Callithrix jacchus: one gene and its partners. The protein of the gene in region 3 interacts with the protein of the main gene of each other region in a pairwise test. Links are inferred from orthologs where the notes say so. Each region holds a gene or a part of one and is shown on either strand. Other genes may lie near its edges. The genes, in order: MEOX1, REL and NEIL2.

Region 1 (8,038 bases), on a different chromosome or scaffold from region 3:
TTTTTTTTTTTTTTTTTTGTCACCCAGGCTAAAGTGCAGTGGCGTGATCTCTGTTCACTGCAACCTCCACCTCCTGAGTTCAAGCTATTCTCCTGCCTCAGCCTCCCGAGTAGCTGGGATTACAGATGCCTGCCACCACGTCTGGTTAATTTTTTTTTTTTTTTTTTTGTATTTGTAGTAGAGACAGGGTTTCATCATGTTGGCCAGCAGGCTGGCCTCAAGTGATCCGCCCACCTCGGCCTCCCAAAGTGGCGGGATTACAGATGTGAGCCACGGTGCCTGGCCAACCCTGCTTTCTTGATCATTTCTTTGAGTGGGTCTGCTCCAGATTCCACAGGAGTGAGGGAGGAGGGAGAGCAGAGAATGTTCCTCTTGCAACAAACTTTCAATTTTGGAGGCTTCTCAGCCACTCCAAAAGGGGTGCATTTGCCAGGCCCAAGTCACCCACACCCTCTCCAGCAGGTCTCTGAGCTCCACGATCCACACTGATAACAACGGGACCAAAATGATTGCCAGAAGTTCCCCAGACTCAGGAATTTCTAAGACAGCACAACTGAAATATTCAATTCCACCATCTCCATAAATATAGAAATATTTGTCAGATCTTATATTCTGATGGCGGTTGCAGGAAATATGGGCCTGATACCATTCATAGCTACTGTTTATTGAACTCTTACTATGTGCCAGGCACAGAGTTAATCTCATGGATCACTGCATCTAACCTTCACAGAGACTCTCTATGGAAGGTGCTACTGCTGTATTCCCATTTTACAGCTAGGCGAACAGAGGCTGGAAGAAGTTAAGAACTTTTCCAAAGTCATGCAGCCAAAAGCTGCAGTGCTGACACTGCAGCCTGTCTGACCAGGAAGAGCTACGGAAAACACGTTTCTGATCAATGCTGGTTAACCTTCCAGAGACCACTCAACCCAGACTTGGGGAGCCCCAAATGAGAGGGCACGCCCAAATCCTTTGTAATCAAGATCAATAATATTTTAAGGCAATATTTTTAAAAACAAAAATTAATGCAAAAAATTGATGATGAAAAAAAATCACAATTTTAGAGAGATGATCCAATCACAGACTCAGGACTGGCAGGGTCGGGAGGGGGAGGGTTCTTTGTGGGGTTTGCCTTTTCTGAGCTCAATTCCAGACTCCTGGAGTAGGTTATGAGCTTAGCTCGTCACTTTCCCCTTCTTTTTATTTATTTATTTTCTTTTTTGAGAGAGAGTTTCGCTCTTGTCACCCAGGCTGAAGTGCAATGGCACGATCTTGGCTCACTGCAAACTCTGCCTCCCGGGTTCAAGTGATTCTCCTGCCTCAGCCTCCTGAATAATAGCTGGAATTACAGGCATGCACCAACATGCCCAGCTAATTTTTGTATTTTTAACAGAGACGGGGTTTCTCCCTGTTGGCTAGGCTGGTCTCAAACTCCCAACCTCCAAGTGATCCGCCTGCCTCAGCCTCCCAAAGTGCTGGGATTACAGGTATGAGCCACTGCGGCTGGCCACTTTCCCGCTTCTTTAGGCTCTTACAAAGCTCATCTTTCTTTCATCCTTCCTCCCCTTCAGTTAAATCCCAAAAGAGGACTCAAGCAACTGGGCAATAAAGATTTCCATGTTGAACAGCAAGTTTGTTTGGAATCACGGCGATGAGTGAGAGTCGGCTCGCTGGACCCTGCCTCAGCTGCTGCTGCTGCTCCTGAGGGGACCCCTAGGGAAGCCCAGGGCCCCTGTGGATGGGAACCTCCCTCCACTGGAGTCTGACCCCAAAGTGTGCAGGCCGTTCGGCAGAGGGTGTCCCTGTATTCCTGGGCGGCCAGCTGCTTGGCGTGAATGCTCTCCCTGCATTGCAGGGCTGTCGGCCACTTGCCGAGAGGACAGCTGGTGCACTTAGATTTTGCTGAGACTCAGAATGCCGGAAGTCTCCGCCTGTGCCCAGCAGCCTCTTGGCTTTGCTATCCCTTCTCACTGCCCTTGGCTCCCAGTACCCTGGAAAGTGGCAGGCGCCGCCACCAAGGGGAAAGCTCTTCAACCCAGATTACAGCTGAGTTCCTGCGCCTCCTAGGCACATTTCCTGCCAGGGGTAGGATGAGTTCATTTTTGGGATGGGGATCTAACTGGCTGGAGGTTCAAAAGGCCCCGCTGTTTAGTGGTGGGTTCCTATCACCCATTGTGAGCTCACTGAGGGGCTTCTTCAAGCAGGAGGACCAAAGATCATTTCAAAGTGAGCATTTCAAATCTGCAGAAGGGTTGATATCAGGTCTGAAGCCTGAGGTTCGAACGCACTTCTAGGGTGACCGATTGTCCTGTTTGCCTGGGACTGCGGGGTTTCCCAGGACACAGGATTTTCAGTGCTCAAACTGGAAAAGTTCTAGGCAAATGGAGATAAGCTGCTCACTCTTTTTTGACCCCAATCTTTCTGTGTTCTCACAAACTTCCAGTCTCTCATTTTGCACACTGAGACAGTCAAGATACGAATAAAACCTGCTTGATTCGTATACGAATAAAACTCAGAAGGGCTAGCGTCGGTATCCAACTGCACCTAGAACCTCCCCATCAGGGCACATCCCGCTGCAGAGAGGCCTCTGCAGGACGATTCTTCCTCTCAGTTTGTGCTTTTTTGGGTGAGACCCCTTCATTCACCTTAGCATTCCTGGGGCTTGGCTAAGAGCAGAAACTCGGGAAAGCTGTGCTGCATCGAAAGTGCTTTGTAAAGAAACCCAGAGCATTCCTGCTTGCTAATTGGTGCCCTCCTTTTCTGGCCTGCCCTGGTTAGCCCCACGGGAAGGTCCTCTACAGGCTCCGACAGATAAGTGTGCCCCCGAGGGTGGCTGTCAGGAGGACACCGGGCAGCACAGGCAGGAGGCCTGGGCACTACCATGTTCTGAATAAGGTCAGGACAAAGAATCAGACAAAAGGTGAACAGGCAGTGTGAGAAGCCAGGGAGGGCCTGGTGGGGAGGTGAGGAAGCAGCAGATCCCCACCCCGGGGAAGAGAAGGGCTTTAGCTAGGCTCTTAACAAACAGGCTAACCTCACCCTCCAGTCACTGGGACTCCAGCATGGATTCCCTCGGCTGTCTGCCTCCCTGACTCTCGCAGGCTGCCCATCCCTCGAGGCTCCTTGAGGGGCTGCGTTCCTGGGAGGGGGTCAGCCCGATCTCAGCATGCTGAGCTGTCCCCTGGGCCTGGGCATAGCCCAACTCTGCAGGGTAATACCTGGTAGGCAGTCTGCCCCAAACCTCAGCCCTCCATCCCCTGCTCACCCCTTCACTCTCCCATCCCAATCCCAGGCCTACTTCTCTGCCTCTAGGCTCCTGGACACATAGAGTCCTGGCTTTGGGTGGCCACCCAGGGTCCCAGCTTCAGTCTTAGCTCCCAGAGCCTCAGTCTCAGCTGACTTCCTTGGTAAGTGAGGCCTGTGGCTCTAGGACCACTTGGGGCTGGCCAGAGCGTGGTGGGGAGGAATATGACTCAACAGCAGCCTGATTCAGGAAAGCCCCTCACCAGTCCCATCAGTCTGCATCCAGAGGATCCATTTCACATGTCCTCCAAATCCTTGCTGATCCTTTTTCATTGTCTTGCTGGGACATGTTTTCTGGGGCCCAGGAGTGCTGGGACACAGACACTGTCCCCATCACCAGAGAATCCTAGAACTCTCAGTGAAAGAAACCACTAGTCTCCTGCATTTAGATAGGCTAGACAGAAATTCATGGTGAGAGCACCTAGGCACAGAGAGGGTGAGTAATCTCCCCAAGGTCACACAGTAAAGGAACGATCAGCAGCTCCTGAGCCACCTACCTGAACTCTCCTTTCTCCGCCTGGATGACTTCTTCTCTGTCTCATTGGCAGTGCTCCCAAGCACCCCATAGTCCTCGCCTGGGCCTCCTGTGGTGTCCACCAGGCCCAGGCTGCTGGTCCCCATTTCCTTGGAACCCCCTGCCGGGCTTGAGTTGGGCCTGCGCCGGGCCTCTGAGACAGGGAAGTGCCAGTTGGGGGACTGTGGGAAAGCGGGGTGCTGCTCAGTGAAGATGTGCTCCTCCTGGGGCAGGCTGTGTGGGGTGGCCGCCAGGCAGGAGGCCGAGAAGTCGGGGTATGCTGCCGTCGCTGTCGCTGGGAAGTCTGGTTTCTGGTGGAAGGAGAACGGGGTTGGCGGGTAGTGGGGTAGCCCTGAGGCCCCATTGCCTTCTGAGTGGGGGTTTCGAAGGCAGCCCCAGACAGGGGCTGGGGGCTGGAGGCTCCTCATGCAGCTGCTGGCCACGGGATCCATCTGCTGTCCGCGGCACGCCTCAGTCCTTTCAAAGATTTGACTCTATACTTTTTACGTTCAGTTTTTTTTAAATGCAAAAGAAAAAAATAGGGAAAAATGTTTAGCAGAAAATTTACCCCAGGACCGAAAACAAAAACCTAAACCAAAGTCTCTCTTTAAAGGACACACACATGTGGCCAGATACTCCTATGCGTGTGCACACACCTATGTCGGGCTTCCTCCTGCCCCTCCGATGCACCAGCCTGCCTACTGGGGTCCCCTGTACGTGTATTTGTCGCCAATGACACTAAACATTTTCACTGTCCCAACCCAGACGCACCAGCTGATGAGGAGCTTGTCCTGGAGCCCGGAGCAAATGCCTGCAGAGGGCCGGACCAGGGCTGCTGGGACACACTTTTAAATCCTGCGGTGGGGAGAGAGTGACAAATTTCTGAAGTGAAATGTGAGAGAGGAGAGGGAGGGGTTAACCCGCACACAAAGATCCCCTCCAACCAAAACGCTAGCAGGCAACTATTAATCATCAGAAACCTTATATGCACATCTAATGGGATTTGCAGATGGAGACTTTTAAAGAAACATTGTATTTTTTTTTATTTTAAGGAAAGAGAGTAGCGTGCACACGCGCGCGCGCGCACACACACACACACATATACACACACGCCCCGTCTTTAATGTCCCTCCCATAACATTATGAAGTTATTTTTATTGCACTGTTAACGAAATTCCCCAAGTCTTGGATTTAGAAAAAGCCTTAAGTCAGATCCAGAATCCATCAAATGCCAAATTCCAGGGAGCAAAGCGAGGAATAAGTGCAAGAGGAAGCTTGGTGAATGCGTTTGGTTTAAACGCCCTTCTGCCTGCGAAAAAGGAAGGTAGATTAAAAGAAATCTTTTTTGCAAGTCTCAGCGGCCCACTATGGTCTCTAGAATAAAGAAAGGCTAGAAAAAAAAAAAGAATTTCTCTCTGCCCAGAGTGGCATTCTCACTTTCTCAGTAACTTAAAAAAACAATCAGATTCTTCCTTCCGCTCTTTAACCTCCAACTTACATGCCAATTAGCCACACTCTTCTCTAGAGAGATTTCAAGTCATTTTTCTTCATGGCAGTGGCAAGATTCTTAAATAAGGTCCATGAAGTTTCTTCGAGTCTCCTCCCACCTGCTCCCTGCCCCCTTCACCTCCACCCACCTGTTTCCCTTTCTCAACCTCCAGAGGCAGAGGCTTCTGAGGAATCTGGGGCTGGGAGATAGGAATCAGGGGCTCCTTGTTCCCCAAAGGTGCCTCTTTGGCAAGCAGGCACGTGGGTCTCCGGGCTGGTGCACATCGCAGGGCAGCCAGCCCAAGTGCCATCTCGATGCCCAATCAGTTTTTCTCATGGCTGTGCCCTGCTGGTCTCTCACAGGGTTAATGCAATTTCTTGGAGGATGACATTCCTAACACCCAGGGCCCAGAACTCCTTCCCACGGGTGATGTACGTGGTCCAGAGCAGCAGGATGGGGGCAGAACCAGGCATGGACCTCACAGCAGCATCTCTGCTGGCTGCTTCCAAAGACAACAGGGGCTCCCTGAGGAGGGGCCCCTGGGTCTTAGCTCTGCGGCGTGGAGATGGGGCCCTGGGGGAGTAGGTGCAGAAGATGCCCCTAGGAAGAGCGGAAAGGCACCCAGGGATGTGAAATAAAGCCGAGACTTGTCTTTAATCCAGAAACTCCAGTCAGATACACATCCCGGGAGCAAGAACAGCTGTAAAAGATGAGGAGGGACGTTCATATGACAAGACATACTCTCTTCTGGAACAAGCGGTCAGGGTGTTGTAGACCAGTAGAGGGGATGGAGTCATAGCTGCCAACCAGACTCATCCCTCTGCTTTGCCAAGGGCTTAGCTGTGGCACACACAATTCTCTGAGCCTCATAACTTTCCTAGGATGGGTAAAGCAAGAATTACATCTCCATTTTGCAGATGACAAAACTGAGGCTCAGAAGGTTGACTGGACTGCCCAGACTCACATACCAAAGAAAAGGTGGAACCAGCACTTGGGCTCAGGGGTCCTGCTCTTCAGTCTGGAGCAGGTCAGATGCAGAGGAAGAAACATGGGGTTTGAGGTTAGAAAGGTCTGAGTTCAAACCTCAGGTCTTCCACTTCCTGGCGGTGTGCCCTGGAACAAGTCACTTACCTCTCTGAATTTCTGTTTACTCATCTGAGATGACAGTCAGAATGGGATCTGTCTAAGGCACTTTGCATCTTAGACACTTTTACCTCCATGAATTCCCATGAAAGCTTTCGGAGGCAAGAGTCATTCTCATCAGCTCCGTTTTTCAGCAGAGGACTCCGATGCAGAGAGACTGTGTAATCTGCACAAGGTCACATAGCAGGGAAGTTGAGGACGGACCCAGGATTCAAATCCAGGCAGCCCAGCCCACAGACATTTGTAAATTTCAATGAAATCCTTTATGCAAAGAGCAGAGTAGGTAATGGACAAACATAGCTTCCTTCCTAGCACATTTATTTGTGGTTAACCTCGAAGATCCCAAAGGGTAAATCTGAGAATGGGGAATTCTGAGGAAATTCTACAGAAACAGCCTTGTGCGGTCCTGTGGGGGGGGCACTCTGTGCTGTGGGGGTTCTGGAAGGAATCCGTGGGAGGCTGGGAGGAAGATCTGGTCTGTCAGCTTCCCTAGGAAAACCTTCCCCTGGGCCAGCCACAGGCTGTAACCGGATTCCCGCTCCGCCTCTGCATCTGGCCCAGGGACCTCATGGCAGGGAGGCCCAGCGCCTGGCCCTTTGCCCCTGGACAGAGTGGGCCCTGTGTCATGGTGGGGTGGGTGGGGAGGTCAGGAGGGCCACGGGAGGGGGCGCGGTGGGTGCTCTGCCCTGAGAACACAGGGCCTGGGCACCCCAGAGCCCCCGGCAGCTGCTGGCGTCTGTCAGCCACCTTGCAGGGCGCAGCCGGGGGCCTCCTGGCCCCTACATCTTCCTGACAGGCCCCTCTTCTGAGATCAGGAAAAAACAACAAGAGTTCCTCCCCTCACACAACCCATTTGTTAGATGAAGGCCGGGCACCAGCACCTTTCACCTCCTCAAAGTCAGCATTTCCCTGTCAAGGCCCCGCAGGGCCAGAGACAGAGATGGATGGAAGGGACTGTGTGTAGAAAAAGCCCTGTGGGCCGGGTGCAGTGTCTCACGCCTGTAATCCCAGCACTTTGGGAGGCCGAGGTGGGCGGATCACGAGGTCAAGAGATCGAGACCATCCTGGCCAACATGGTGAAACCCTGCCTCTACTAATAATACAAAAATTAACTAGGCACAATAGTGCACACCTGTAGTCCCAGCCATGCAGGAGGAGAATCTCTTGAACCCAGGAGGCGGAGGTTGCAGTGAGCCAAGATTGCACCACTGCACTCCAGCTCGGGCAACAGAGCCAGACTCCACTTCAGAACAGAGAGAAGCCCTGCGGATGTGCCAGGAGAGCCCTGTTTTCAGGAAGGGAGGGAACCTGGTCTCTGGCAGCTGTGGTGCAGAATGAGGGGAGGAAGAGGAAAAGTGTGAGTCAGGAGGAGGCCCCCGGGAGGGCTTGCAGCCTGGCCACACCTGAGCCATCCCAAGGAACTTGTGCAATTTCCCCCACTGTGTGCAGCAGGCAGGCGTGTACTTGGCAGGACAGGGCGGCTTCTGTTCGCGGCCACCCCACCCACCTGAGTCTGGAGAGACAGGGTGTCGGGGAAGGACCCTGGACCTGGAGGCAGAAGACACCAGTTCAAGGTGTGACCTTGCCTGTTA
Region 2 (7,938 bases), on a different chromosome or scaffold from region 3:
GTCAAAAGACGGGGTCAGCTTTAGCTACGTTGTGAAGGTAGGGTCTACTAGATTTGCTAATGGATTGGATATGGGAGCTAAAAGAAGAACAAAGGATGACTCCAGGATTTTTGGCCTGAGCAACTAGAAGCATGGCATTGCCATTTACTGAGTTGGGGAAGACTGAAGGAGAAGCAAGTTTGGGAGGGAAGACCAAGAATTCAGTTTTGGATATGGTGAGTGTGAGCTTTAATTCAATTTCTAGATAGAGATATCAAATAGGCAGTTTTATGAGATCACAAGGAGTGAGGACATTTAAGGAGAATGGTCCAAGGAAACTTTTTCCCCTTAAAAAATATGAGTGTAAAGCTAAAAGTATAAGTAACTTTAAAGGCATAGATTGAAATAGTATAAAATGTAGAAAACCTCCCATACCTTAAAAGCTCACTTCTGCCCAACGTAACACTAAAGACATTTTGATACACATACAAACCTAAGAAACTCCAAGAAGCCTAAGAAAACCCCTTAGGGGTTACCTTGGCCCATGGGCCTCAAAAATAAGAAATTAAGTTTTTCAATGGCATAGCCATTACAAGTTTTATCTTAAATTTACTTGAAATTTAAGAATACATTAAAACATTATAAAAAGAAATATAAAAAAGCATAAAAGCATTTTTTTTGAGATGGAGTCTTACTCTGTCACTCAGGCTGGAGTGCAGTAGTGAGATCTCAGCTCACTGCAACCTCCGCCTCCTGGGTCCAAGCAATTCTTGTGCCTCAGCCTCCCAGGTAGCTGGGAGTGCAGGTGTGCACCACCATGCCCACCTAATTTTTGCATTTTTAGTAGAGACGGGGTTTCACCATGTTGGCCAGGCTGGGCTTGAACTCCTGGCCTCAAGTGATCCAGCCGCCTAGGCCTCCCAAAGTGCTAGTATTACAGGTGTAAGTTCCTATGCCCAGCCTCTGAGTTGTCTTTCTATGACAGCTTCCAATTTTGTGTTCACTACGTCCAAAGTTGCATGCTTCTTCCCTGAAAAAAGTTTTTTTTATATTCTCAAATACAGTACTATATTCCCAGTCAGACAAATACAAAATGCTGCACCTACACAGGTGATACCAAGACTTAAAATGATTTAAATCTTGCAAGTTATACTTGAAAAAATTCATATGGAAAGGAGTCACTCAACTGCTCATTTTGCATACTGCCAATACCTGAATACTGACTACCTTGAACAAAACTATGACTGTCTGGATTGGTACTGTTTGATGGTCCTGACTCATTCATCATGCTGTTATCTGCACAATTGAAGTCAGATCCCTCAAATGCATCTGATTGTGAAACAAAAACAGCAGTATTGGAATTGGCACCTGCTGACATATTGGAAGAGGACATCTGGTGGAGCTGTCTCAAGTCTCTTGGGTCTAACACTGAATTACATGAGGGGTTTTCAAGATTCATGCTCAGAAGTCTTGGATTATCAGTCTCTCCCATGCTATCATTGCTGGTGGTCATCATATTCACAGAACAATTTGACAGCATGTTGGGATCAGAAATACCATATAAATCGGCTGGTGGCATGGATGACGCTTCCATTCCGACTATGTCGTCAGCATTGTTATAAATGCAAGCATTAGAAACATTTAAATCATTCTCAACAGGTATTCCCAGGAATGGTGGGATACCTTGTGAATTAGAAGGAAGTGTCCCTGTTGAAAAACTGCTCAGTGGATTTGTATTGACTAAGCGTGAGGTGGGGTGGGCCACTGATGACCAGCTTGAAGAAGGCGGAGGTGGCATTGAGGCATGACGTGACAATCCACTTGAGATGTGCCCAAGTGAGAGATAGTAGGATTCTCCTTGATTTGAAATCCCTGTAGGTCTGGACATTTCTGTCGCAACTGCACCATGAGAAAACAAGTTTGGTTCTGTGGGAGGAAAAATTTATTTTACAAAATTAAAATAAACAAAATTAGAAAAAGTATTATTTCTAAATTAAAATTGCATATGAACACAAATAAATACACAAAAAAATGTCAAGGAAACCAATGTAACATTTCAAATAAAAAATGTAAAAAGCACTAAAATTATTACACAAATCCAAAATGAAATTCTGTAACATATACCGTTTACAAATACAGGAAAAATGATTTTGGCAAATTACTCTGGCATATGTACTTTCACTCCAGTTAAATGAAAATCTAGTTTCTGAGGCTCTATAAATGTATTTTTGAAAACTGGAAGATAAATATGAGAATTTTAATTAATGGGACTCCAAACAGCCAAAATCATCTCTTACTCTCCACTTTTAGGAGAAAATGGAAGGATGGAGAAAACACCCATTAGGGATAATAAGAAAATACACAACTTTTAAGATATATTATGACACAATCCTAACAGACTATAAAATTCACAGTCAGAAAAAATTAATTCTGTATTTATTTACATATTATACAAATGCTTGACAACCTAAACCAGGAAAAAGCACTGATTTAAGAATGTAAGGGGGTAGAAAGGACTTCTAATTAGCCCGTTAGCCCTTGGTCAAATTATCTAAACTAGGGATTGGCAATTTTTTTTCTTGTAAAAAGTCAGATAGTAAATATTTTAGGCTCTGTGAGCTATATACAGCCTCTGTTGGAACTTTTCAACTCTGTTGCCATGGTGTTAAAAAGGCAGTTTAGAGACAGTATTTAATCAAATATTCATAGCCATGTTCCAGTAAAATTGTATTTATAAAAATTGGTAACTAACCAAATCAATAACATTTTTTCCATAACATGATATAATTAATAAAATTGCTACTGTATAAAACACATGTTATTTCTTGAAAAATAAATCCCAAAAACACAATCTGTTTCTAACACAACCTTCAGAAGCCATGTTCAATTCATTCTATACTGAAACCAAGAAAAATCTGAAGGAGAGAAAATTTTCAAAAAAGTAGTTATTCATTCCTAAATACAGAGTTCCAATACATTGTGCCAAGCTCTGGTCTTTCTAATCACAAGAAATATGCTATAGGAAATAAAATACCTTTTTTGATGTATCTTCCTTCTCCTATTGATCCAAGGGGACCAGGTCTTGGTCTCTCAGGAAAATTAACTGTTAGGATAAAGTTTTTCCATTATTAAATATAATTTGAAAAATAACACTATCAGTTAAAATTTGAAAAACCAGCCAGAGGTGGTGGCTTCTGCCTATAATCCCAGCACTTTTGGAGGCCAAGGTGGTGGATCACGTGAGGTCAGGAGTTTGAGACTAGCCTGGCCAACATGGGGAAACCCCGCCTCTAATAAAAATACTAAAAATTAGCCAGGTGTGATGGCACATGCCTGTAATCCCAGCTAATTAGGAGGCTGAGGTAGGAGAATTGCTGAACCTGGGAGGTGGAGGTTGCAGTGAGCTGAGATTGCCCCACCGCACTCCATCCTGGCTGAAAGACAGGCCCTGTCTCTACTAAACAAAAACAAAACAAAAGTAAAAATTGAAAACCTGAATAAAGCAAATAAAACAAAACCTATTTAAATATGAATCAATCAAAAATATTCTTACCATGATCCTGCCACAATTTCTGAAAAAGCAGAGTTGTCTTTTGTTTCTTTGATTTATTGCCGTAAGTATCTGATTAGAAAGAAACCAAAAAAAGCAGGTAAAAAATTAAACTCTCCACTAATAAACAAGTATTTTATTCACATATAGAAAATGTTTTCAATAAATATGTATATAATTTGGATTTAATAAGTATTATAGAATATGTCCCAAATCAGTACTATCAGTAGTAAAGGATATTTTTCTCTTGGTAAAAAATTGTTTAAAGTAATCCCAGCACTTCGAGAGGCAGGTGGATCACTTGAGCCCAGGAGTTTGAGGACAGCCTGGGCAACATGGCAAAACCCTGTCTCCACAAAAAATACAAAAACTGGCTGTGCACAGTGGCTTATGCCTGTAATCCCAGCACTCTGGGAGGCCAAAGAGGGTGGATCACCTGAGGTCAGGAGTTTGAGACCAGCTTGGCCAACATGGTGAAATTCTGTCTCTACTAAAAATACAAAATTAGTTGGGTGTGGTGGCACATGCCTGTAGTCCCAGCTACTCAGGAGGCTGAGACAGGAGAATCGCTTAAATCGGGAGGCAGAGGCTGCAGTGAGCCGAAATCATACCACTACGCTCCAGCCTGGTGAAGATAGAGCAAGACTCCATTTCAAACCAACAAACAAAACCCACAAAAATTAGCCTGGTGTGGTGGTGCACACCTGTAGTCCTGGTACTCCAGAGAGGATGAGGTGGGATGATCAATCACCTGAGCCCAGGAGGTTGAAGCTCTGGTGAGCCATGATCATGCCACTGCACTCCAGCTTGAGTGACAGAGTGAGACCCTGTCTCAAAACAAACCAAAACAAACAGTTTAAAATATTCATCTTGTTTTCTTATCACACAAGTCAATAATGTGAACTAATACAATAAGGTTGGATAAGAAGTCAATATAGAGACTACTCTCTGAGTGGTAAGTGCACAAGGACAAAAATAGACCTTCAAAAATACAATAGAAATTTTAATAAGCAGTTTAGATACTTTGAAATTATTCCATACTAATCAAACCTCTTTTTTTATTTTTGAGACAGAGTCTTGCTGTGTCGCCAGGCTGGAGTGCAGTGGCATGATCTCGGCTCACTGAAACCTCTTTTTCCCAGGTTCAAGCAAATATCCTGCCTCAGCCTCCCAAATAGCTGGGACTATAGGTGCGTGCCACCATGCCCAGCTAATTTTTCTATTTTTGGTAGAGACAAGGTTTCACTATTTTGGCCAGGGTGGTCTCCATCTCTTGACCTTGTGATCCGCCCACCTTGGCCTCCCAAAGTGCTAGGATTACAGACGTGAACCACCGAGCTTGGCCCAAACCTCTTTCTTAAGAAAGAAACGCAGAGACCAGCCTGGCTAACATGGTGAAACCCCATCTCTAATAAAAACACGAAAGTAGCTGGGGGTGGTGGTGCGTGCTTATAGTGCCAGCTAATTGGGAGGCTGAGGCAGAACTGCTTGAACTCGGGAGGCGGAGGTTACAGTGAGCTGAGATTGCACCACTGCACTCTAGCCTGGGTGATAGAGTAAGACTCAGTCTCAAAAAAACAAAACCAAAAAAAAAAAAAAAAACAACAAATGAGATGCAAAGAGCATAAAGAAAAAAACCCAACGGAAAGTTTCCAGGAAAAGAAACACAAATTATGAATATACATAGCTGTATTTAAATGAATCTTACAAGATGTTATTAGCAGGACCACTTTAAGAAATATATAAATTATTACCAGCATAATGTCATACCCTTTTCATCTGGCAGATATCTAAAATCCATAGATTCACTAACTTCCTGGTCAGAAGGTCTCCGCAACTGCATTTTTACTGTTACAGGTTCTGTGATAGCTTTGCAATACGGTGGGGTTTTAAAAACAATGGCTACTTGACGGTGTACATCAGCTTGTGAAAAGATGCCTTTTGCTTCCCAATCATTCAACACAAAACGAACTTCTATGTCATCTAGTAAATAAGAAACAAAAGAAATAACAATGGGAAAACAAAGTAACTGCATCTATTAATCTAAATTTTATTCTAAATTCAACGAAATAAATAAATACCTTTCTGAACTTTGTCACAAAGTAGAAATATTTCATCTCCTCCTCTGACACTTCCACAATTCTTGTTTACACGACAAATCCTTAATTCTGCAGTATTTGGAGCACCTAAATATAAAGGATTTAAAAAAAAAATGAGTTGCTACATAATATTTTATTTCTTTTTGAAGGGAAGAATTTGAGGAAAACCATTCACAGAATAAAAGTTTTAGTGTATAAATAAAGGACACTAAATACACTAATCATCTATATTTGTCCACTTCCTTTCTAACTGCTTTACTTTAGACTTGTGACTTCATTTCTAGGTAATGACACATTCTCTAATTATAGCTCCCTGCTTCTAAATTCTGATTCTGCCAATCAATCCTACACAATTGTCACCAGATTAATCTTTATAAATCATGGCCATATCCCTACAGCAACACAATTTTCCCTATGGCAATACATCTCCTTATGGCAATACAACTTTCATGCTTCCTACTATCTGGCTGTAAGATTATAATAATTATCCCTGGCATTTAAAGCTCTACATATTAAGGATACTCTAATCTACCTTTATAGACCTATGTCTCACTACCCTACATGTACAACAGGTATAGCCATACACCATTGGTGGATGTATATAGAGATGCCTATGTACATACACACACACGCATACACATACACATACACACACACACACACACACACAGCATTTTGGGGGGAAGTTTCATAATCTTCTAAAATTAGATATATCCATATCCTTTGATCCAGCATTTGCCATGCAGTGAGCGAGCCATGACTGCACACTGCACTCCAGCCTGAGTGACAAAGCAAGACCCTACACTGCAAAAACAAAACAAAACTAAAAAAGCCCCTAAAAAAACCATATACAAGAATATGTATTGCAGTACAGTTAGTGAAAAAATAAAAAATGAGAAAAGAAACAAAATGAATGTCTTGTAAGAGGGTAATTAATAAAATTATGATATAACTATATAATGAAATATGCTGCTACTGAAACAAATAAGGTGACTGAAAGGAAAATGTTCAAGATAGATGGTAAGATGAAAGTTAGTTTTTAAAACAATTATCACTTATGATTTTTTTTAAGTTGCCAAAATTGTAACTATGTCAAAAATGATGATGACAGTGTATTTGTGTGTACATAGGAACAAGAAACTGGTAAAATATGCACCTAAGCATAGTGATTATCTCTGGAGGATGAGATTAGAGATTTACTCTCTGTTATAATATTTCTGTAACGTCTGGAAGTTTTCCTATCATAAATATATTGTTTTTCTAATTACCAAAATACTTTTAAGAATTAAACTATTATAAAAAACAAGTTAAGACTACAAATACAAGAAAATGAAGTACTTACGGTTGTCATAAATTGGGTTCGAGACAACAGGAGGAAGAGCAGTTGTCAAATTACCATGTTCATCAGGGAGGAAAACTTGAAAACATAATCTCACCACATTGAGATCACAATCTTCAATATCAATCAGCTGTTTTTCAGGCACTGAATAGTTTTAAAAAAAAAAGAATTTTTTTTAAGAATGTAAAATAGTTGGGACACAGTGGCTCAAGCCTGTAATCCCAGATCTTTGGGAGGCCGAGGCGGGCAGATCACGAGATCAAGAGATCGAGACCATCCTGGCCAACATGGTGAAACGTCTCTATTAAAAATACAAAAATTAGCTGGGCGTTGTGGCATGCACCTGTAGTCCCAGCTACTCGGGAGGCTGAGGCTTGAACCTGGGAGGTGGAGGTTGCAGTGACCCGAGATTGTGCCACTGCACTCCAGCCTGGCGCCTGGCAACAAAGTGAGACTCTGTCTCAAAAACAAAGAAACAAAAAGCAAAATAGTCACATAGACCTAAAGTCCTGCTAGGTACTCCTCCCTGCCCATTATAGCCAATAACCTTGAATAGCATCCAAATCTGTACCAATAAAAACAGAATAGTATACAATCTCAAGATTGCCTTTTACCATTCTTATCAAGTAGTCACTGTTTAACAGTATTTGAAAAAATACAGCCATGTTCAGGAAGTAACTATCCCCTCACCTGGGATTTAAAGCAGACTCCCAAGTTGACATTAATAACAAATCAAAGTTTCAAAAAATAGTTGCAGGTTCGTACACAACAAAGAATGGCATTTACTTATTCATTCAACAAGTATGTATTTGGTCCAGTTGTTGTGTTAAGGACTCTGTAAATTATCTCCTAAATCTGTACAAGAATTACTTTCATTCCCATTTTACTAGTGAGGAACTGAATTTAATTAATTTTTTTGAGATAGGGGTCTCACTCTATTCCCCAGGATGGAGTGCAGTGATATGATTTTG
Region 3 (7,611 bases):
AGATACAACAGAAAATAACAAAGAGCTTTATTTTTGTGTGGCTGTCCTGGCTTCATTTACTTGTTGCCAACAGCCTGAGGGAGTTTCTCCATCGCCCTTGATTCGAGCTTAACATATTAACAGTCACAAATACACAAACTTCAGGAGTAAACAAGCAGCTTTCCCTGCAGACCATCCTGCACCCCAGAACAGCCCAGCTCCCTGCTGCAGCCCCGCCTCTGGGTGTCCACATCCAGCAGGAAGGACCCAACAGGAAGCTGAATCCAAGCACTGCGCTCAGGCCACTCTCTCCTCATCCCTGGATCCTCCAGAACAAGAAAAAAATAATAATCCCGTTTTCCTGCATTCCAAAATGGAAGGCCTTAAAATCAACCAGCATTGGAAAAGAAAACAGGAGCTAGCCGGTGCGGTGGCTCACTCCTGTGGTCCCAAGTTTGGGAGGATTGCTTGGGTACACAAGTTCGAGACCAGCCTGGCCAACATGGCAAGACCCCATCTCTACAAAAGGTAAACAGAAATCAGCCGGACATCCCGGCACATGCCTGTAGTCCCAGCTACTGTGGAGGCTGAGGTGGGGACCGCCTGAGTCTAGGAGGGCAAGGCTTCAGTGAGCCGAGCTGGGGAGACAGAGCGAGACCCATCACAAAACAAAAACTGAAAAATCCCCACATCATCTGCAAAGCCATGTAGGGAGCACAGCTATTTCCCATGGGCTCTTTCCTTGCCCCACTGCCTTCGGGAGCTTTCCCCTTACCAACCATCATGATTTTTCTCATCTTTCACAATGGTGCAATTCAATAGGAAGAATTAACTGAACTAGAAAAAGAAGAAGAAATCGAACCCTATGAAAACTCTGCCTTCAACATAACTCCGGAATATTGTCATACTGGCACCCCTGACCCACACTATCCTCTGCACCCTGTCTCTGCCCATATCCTCCCCTTTCTGGATACTTAGACGTCAGGTTCCCCAAGGGGCAAGGTTCCATGACGAGCACCCCAAGTTCCTTAGGAGAACTGGCGCTGCTCCAGCTCCTCGGACAACTGGGGCTGGCACTGTGGGCACCACCAGGTGAGCCTTTGGAACCCACCTGGGGGTCCAAACGCTTCCTTCAAGAGCTGGTGGCCAGCAGGGCACCATTCCTTCTGGTAGACCTGCGTGTGCTGCGGGTGGCCCTGAAGCTTGTCCTGCAGCCAGGCTGCACTGAACTCCACCACGCCGTCCACCAGGGCCTCCCGTTGCGAGGCGCTCAGGACGGAGCCAAGAGAGAGGGGATGAATCCCAGCTCTATACAAGACTTCATTCTTAATGATGTTCCCTGAAAGACAGCAGGGGAGGGTGAGGGAAGAAGAAAGTGACAAAACCACCCACAAAGCTCACAAGGCAGAATTCAGCTCTCCCACATCCTGCAGGACCTTGGGCGGGTAAGTGATATCCGCCTCCATTTCCCTGTCTGTAAAATGGGGACAATTTCAACCTTTATGGTTGCTGTGGAGATGAAATGAAAGTCATGCGTGGCCCATCATGGCACACAGGTTATCAAAGAGGGCTCGGGCATCTGACTGCCTGCACTTGAATCCCAGCTCAAGCAGCTCCTACCCATGTGACATGGCAAGCTCCCCAGCCTTGATCAGCTGTAGTTTCCTTATCTGTAAGGCAAGGATGGCTTACCTGGTTCTTGTGAGCAGTAAATGAGAATTCACTAAAAAATGCTGAGTACAGTGGCTGGGATGTAGAGTACTCAATAAATATTAACTGTTATTATCATTTTAAAATGGTTGGCCGGGCGCAGTGGCTCATGCCTATAATCCCAGCACTTTGGGAGGCAGAGGTGGGTGAATCACGTGATGCCAGGAGTCCAGCTGTCCAGACTGGACAACACGGTGAAACCCCATTTCTACCCCAAATACAAAGATCAGCCAGGCATGGTAGCACGTGCCTCTAATCCCAGCTACTCTGGTAGCTGACCCACGAGACTCGCTTGAACCCGGGAGGCGGAGGTTGCAGTAACCTGAGATTGTGCCACTGCACTCCAGCCTGGGTGAAAGGGCAAGACTCTGTCTGAAAAAAAATTTTTTTTTTTGAGATGGAGTCTTGCTCTGTCGCCAGGCTGGAGTGCAGTGGCACAATCTTGGCTCACTGCAACCTCCGCCTCCAGGGTTCAAGTGATTCTTCTGCCTCAGCCTCCCGAGGAGCTGGGACCATAGGCGTGTGCCACCACACCCAGCTAATTTTTGTATTTTTAGTAGAGACAGGGTTTCACCATGTTGGCCAGGATGGTCTCGATCTCTTGACCTCGTGATCGGCCCACCTCCCAAAGTGCTGGGATTAAAGGCGTGAGCCACCGCGCCTGGCCCAATAAAATTCTTTTTTTAAATTAAAAACAAAATGTCCAGCATAGCTGGGCACAGTGGCTCACACCTGTAATCCCAGCACTTTAGGAGGCAGAGGCAGGAGGATGACTTGAGCCCACGAGATCAGGACCAGCCTAGGCAACATAGCGAGACCTTGCCTCTACAAAAAAAAAAAAATTTTAATTAGCAAGGTGTGGTATCATGCACCTGTACTCCCAGCTACTCAGGAGGCTGAGGTGGGAGGATCGCTTGAAACAGGGAGGTTGAGGCTGCAGTGGGTTGTGATTGTGCCACTGCACTCCAGCCTGGATGACAGAGAGAGACCCGGTCTCAAAAAATAAAATGAAATCTCGAGCGTGATGTGTGCTATGTTAGGAAGTGTTTGGGGAGGTATCCTCTTATCATTTCTCTACTCCTGCCTCATTCTCTGTGAAGCCAGCCTCCATCCCTCTTTTCAGAATCAGTAACTCTCTCTGGAATGTTCCAACAGGACTCTAAGCTCCACCAGGCATTCATCACAATCTTTCCTAACCCACAGTGACCTGAGTCCCTGCTTGCTGAGCCATTCAACAATGACCTCTGTAGGAAGAGGTGGTGAGTGTGACAGAGCCCGAGTGAGTGTCGCTGTGCCTCGCGTTAAGGAAATTCTTGAGCAGGTGAAGGAAATTCCTGCTTTCCAAAAGCGTCAGTCATACTCCCCATTACACACATCATTGTCTCCAGAATTCACTGACAGAATACCCGACCTCACGTCTCAGCCTTGCTACTGACTAGCAATGTGTTCTTTGCTTCAGTTTCCTCATCTGAAGAAAGGAAAAACCACTATAACTATTCTATGGAACGGCAGTAAGGACAAAAACGTGTGCCTGGTGCATCAGAGCTGCTTGGAACACACTGGCCGTATTACTCCTGTTACTGTTGTTAGCTCTTGCCATATATATCCGAAAAGCCACCTCCGGATGCCTCTTTGCTCCTGAGGGCACAGGGACACCCATGGTTCTAACATGAAAATGCAAGGCTAGTGCCTGGTGCAGCACCAGGCCTCCTCCGACCCTTGTGAGGGGAGGGGAGGAGAGCTGACAGCAAAGTCACACCTTGGATATGGAGGTGACTGTCACCACCAACTCACCTAATTGCCTCAGCAGCCTATTTTGGGCACAATTATTCCCCTGCTGTGGGTAAGAAGAATGGCACATTCTCAGGGCTGGGTATGGTGGCTCACACCTATAATCCTATCACTTTGGGAGACTGAGGAGGGTGGATCACGAGGCCAGGAGTTCAAGACCAGCCTGACCAACATGGTAAAACCCCATCTCTACTAAAAATACAAAATTATCCGGGCGTGGTGGCACATGCCTGTAATCCCAGCTACTAGGGAGCTGAGGCAGGAGAATCCAACCTCAACTGGAGCCAAGGTGCTCTAGCCTGAGTGACAGAGCAAGACTCTGTCTCAAAGGAAAAAAAAAAAGGAGTGGCACGCTCTCATAGTCCAGCTAATTAGCCGTTACATGTATGTTCTGGGATTACTCAGCGCTTCTCCATAACTCGAAATGCACACAACGTCCCTGCTCAGGCCACTGCCACAGAGAGGAAAACTGCTCCTTCCCTCGTGTCCTGTAAGAGCCTAATGTAGACTGAGTCATCTCTGTGCCCTGACCGGGGGAGGCTCCATCCACCCATGGCAGCACCCCGTAGAACACACACTCATTCCTCTGCTAGAGCCTGTACGACTTCAGTCCCCACCGACATGGCTCAGCCACCTCCTGTGGGCCAGGCGCTGCTGTGCAGCGGAGCGGATAGGGACATGACCCTGCCCTTTCGGAGGGGATGCTCCCGTGTTGCTGGCAGAAGGCTCATAACTGATAACACAATTAGAGTGTGGACTCTGAAGCCGAGAGAAGTTAAAAACTGCCTGATCTAATGCCCTCAGTTTAAAAACAAGGGAAGTAAAATGAAGATTAAGCAAGTGGCCCCCTCAAGGCCAACAGCACTGGCACGAGTGGGGCGGGTCTCAGGTCTTGTGACTCCCACAGGAACGACTTTGCCTTGAGCAACTCTGTGGGCTCACCCCTTTCCCATCAGTCATACCTAGCCCTGAGAAGTGTTTCTGGTCCAACAGTGTATAGCAGACAGGCTGAGCCTGGCCTAGAGCTTCCAAGGCTTGTCCTCGATGGAACTTCTCAGACAGGATGTCACAGGTGGGTGTGACCGCTGGGGAAGAGCTCCAGGACATCTGACAATTATAAAATGCTAGGAAGCCGCCACCACCGAAGTGCAGGACCAACCTGGGAAGAAAGAATAGGTGTTAGGTACACGTCATTACCACGCTACATTGAGAGCACGCTCTGTGGTCGGATCATACACACAGACAGCCCTGACTTACAGCGGTTCACTTTTAATTTCTGACTTTATAACGGTACAAAACCAGTGCACACTCAGTAAAAGCCACACTCTGAGTACCTATAAAACCATTCTTTTACTTTCAGTACAGTACTCAATAAATTATATGAGATATTCAACATTTTATAAAACACGCTTTGTGTTAGATGATTTGCCAACTGTAGGCTAATGTAATTGTTCTGAGCACAAATAAGGTAAGTTAGGCCATGCCATGATGTTTGGTAGGCTAGGCATATTAAATGCATCGTTTTTTACTTATAATATTTTCTTTTTGAGATGTCATTTTGTTCTTGTCGCCCAGGCTGGAGTGCAGCAGCTCGATCTCAGCTCACTGCAACCTGTGCCTCCCAGGTTCAAGTGATTCCCCTGTCTCATCCTCCCAAGTAGCTAGGATTGCAGGTGTGCACCACCACACCTGACTAATTTTTTGTACTTTTAGTAGAGATGGTATTTCATGTTGGCCAGGCTGGTCTTGAACTCCTGACCTCAGGTGATCAACCCTCCTCCACCTCCCAAAGGCTGAGATTACAGGCGTAAGCCAACCACACCCAACCTAGTATTTTCAGTTCTCCAAATACTCCATGTACCCTTTCCATAGAGAAGAGATATATAATTTTATTTATTTATTTAGATTTTTTTTGAGATAGGGTGTTGCTCGTTGCCCAGGCTGGAGTGTAGTGGCACAATCACAGCTCATTGCAGTCTCAACCTCTCTGGCTCAAACTATCCTCCCACTTCAGCCTCCCAAGTAGCTGGGACTAGAGGTATGTACCACCACACCTGGCTAATCTTTTTATTTTTATTTTTAGTAGAAACAGGGTCTCACTATGTTGCCCAGGCTGGTCTCTTACTCCTAGGCTCAAGTGATCCTCCTGCCTCAGCCTCCCAAAGTGCTGGGATTACAGACATGAGTCACTACGCCTGCAAGCTAATATTATTTATTTCAAAGACCAGCCTATTAAAGAAAAAAGAGACAAAGCAAAATAAATACAAAACATGCAAATGAGAAAAGAGACATAACCAGGTAAAAAGAGATTTAAAAATAAAGGCATGATACACATTCACTCTGTGGCAATATATCTGAAAACCCAGGCGTGAGCCTGCTTCGTGGAGTGCATTTCAATGCCTCCAACTGGCGACTAACCCAGGACTCAGCAAAGAGCAGGCTCCTGATGATGAGAGGCTTCCTGGGGGTTCTGAGAAAAGTTTCCTCATCTGAACTTCTACAAGTGACCTTCTCATTCTGGATTTTTTGGTGTGGATAAAATCTTGGAGCTGCCGTAGCCTATTGCTGCTCAGCTAAGGACAAAACCACTGCATGGAAAGCGCAAAGCCAGGAGAATCCTAAGAATATGAAGCCAGAACCTTGGAACCGCAATCCCAAAGCCCACCCTCCTTCTGAACTTCCGGTCATGGGAGCCCCAAATCTCCTGACCACAGACACTACTCCGAGTTATTTTTATAGCCCATAGCATCCTATGGTATTTACATCGTGCCACAAATAAAGACTACCTACAGTTCTGGCCAGGCGGTGGCTCACGCCTGTCTGTAATCCCAGCCAAGGTGGGCAGATCACGAGGTCAAGAGATTGAGACCATCCTGGCCAACATGGTGAAAACCCGTCTCTACTAAAAATACAAAAATTAGCTAGATGTGGTAGCATGCACCTGTAGTCCAGTTACTCGGGAGGTTGAGGTAGGAGAATCACTTGAACCTGGGAGGTGGAGGTTGCAGGGAGCCGAGATGACGCCACTGCACTCCAGCCTCGTGACAGAACAAGACTCCATCTCAAAAAAAAAAAAAAGACAGACTACAGTTCTAAACATTTTTAAAAATTATGAAACGTCAGAAAATAGAAGTCACGTGGTTTTCCCTGGGGGCAGAAAGGGCCTTTTTTTAGCAAAAAGGGAAACCTACGAGCAACCAGGAAAAACACCCACCACTGACAACATAAAAATTTAAAATCCCAAATGCCAAGAGGCATCCTAAGCACAGTGAAAGGACAAAGGATAGACTTGAAACAATATTGGCAACACACGGCAGAAAGACAAAGACTTTCTGTCCAAAAGCTTCAATACATTGATAAGAAGTACACAAACGACTTAACGTTCATGAGATTTCAGCTCAGCTAGCACTTCCTAAGGCCATAAAAATGTGCAGCCCTAAGAACGTGCATTCCCTTTGACCAGCAATTACTCCAATGGGAATTGACATGAAGGACATAATCCTAATCCTAGATAGAGTATTATGCAGAAAATGTTGATTTCAACATTCATACATTCAAAACTGGGGTGGGCACGGTGGCTCATGCCTGCATTCCGAGCACTTTGAGAGGCAGAGGCAGGTGGATCACTTGAGGCCATGAGTTCCATGAGAATTCACTTGAGGCTGGTCCATGAGACCACCCTGGCCAACATGGTGAAACCCTGTCTCTACTAAAAATACAAAACTTAGCCGGTGTAGTGGTGTGCGCCTATAGCCCCAGCTCCTCAGGAAGCTAAGGCAGGAAAATTGCTTGAATCTGGGAGGCAGAAGTTTCAATGGGGCGAGATTGCGCCACTGCACTCCAACCTGGGCAACAGAGCAAGACTCTATCTCAAAAAAGAAACAAAAAAACTCATCAAACTGGACACTTAAGATCTGCATCCTACTGTATGTTAATTATATCTCAATAAAACACACACACACAAGCAATATACTTAAAAAAAAAAATAACTGGGAAATCCTGTCCGTAAACTCAAAGCACACTAGTCAGGCAATGAAATGTTCTTCGGGGACGTTCCCCCTCAAGTGCCACATTCGCTGGGAAAGGTCTACCCTTCTCCCAGCCACCGCTGGTTGTGCCACCCTCTCCTGG

The links.
Region 1: the proteins of NEIL2 (region 3) and MEOX1 interact in binary tests that used the Homo sapiens proteins (3 or more experiments, as listed by UniProt). The two-hybrid records come from large-scale screens. The link is inferred for Callithrix jacchus from reciprocal best matches to the Homo sapiens genes NEIL2 and MEOX1.
Region 2: the proteins of NEIL2 (region 3) and REL interact in binary tests that used the Homo sapiens proteins (3 or more experiments, as listed by UniProt). The two-hybrid records come from large-scale screens. The link is inferred for Callithrix jacchus from reciprocal best matches to the Homo sapiens genes NEIL2 and REL.

Annotation. Positions count from the first base shown.
Region 1 is NC_133506.1:70,535,294-70,543,331, forward strand, and holds the start of MEOX1 (homeobox protein MOX-1), read right to left. Parts: upstream 4,297-8,038; 5' UTR 4,267-4,296; coding exon 3,798-4,266; intron 1-3,797. UniProt on the Homo sapiens protein: Mesodermal transcription factor that plays a key role in somitogenesis and is specifically required for sclerotome development. Required for maintenance of the sclerotome polarity and formation of the cranio-cervical joints.
Region 2 is NC_133515.1:53,210,752-53,218,689, forward strand, and holds part of REL (proto-oncogene c-Rel), read right to left. Parts: intron 7,112-7,938; coding exon 6,971-7,111; intron 5,716-6,970; coding exon 5,611-5,715; intron 5,513-5,610; coding exon 5,300-5,512; intron 3,602-5,299; coding exon 3,533-3,601; intron 3,083-3,532; coding exon 3,014-3,082; intron 1,906-3,013; coding exon 1,127-1,905; 3' UTR 1-1,126. UniProt on the Homo sapiens protein: Proto-oncogene that may play a role in differentiation and lymphopoiesis.
Region 3 is NC_133514.1:10,278,416-10,286,026, forward strand, and holds the end of NEIL2 (endonuclease 8-like 2), read right to left. Parts: intron 4,640-7,611; coding exon 4,443-4,639; intron 1,319-4,442; coding exon 1,008-1,318; 3' UTR 13-1,007; downstream 1-12. UniProt on the Homo sapiens protein: Involved in base excision repair of DNA damaged by oxidation or by mutagenic agents. Has DNA glycosylase activity towards 5-hydroxyuracil and other oxidized derivatives of cytosine with a preference for mismatched double-stranded DNA (DNA bubbles).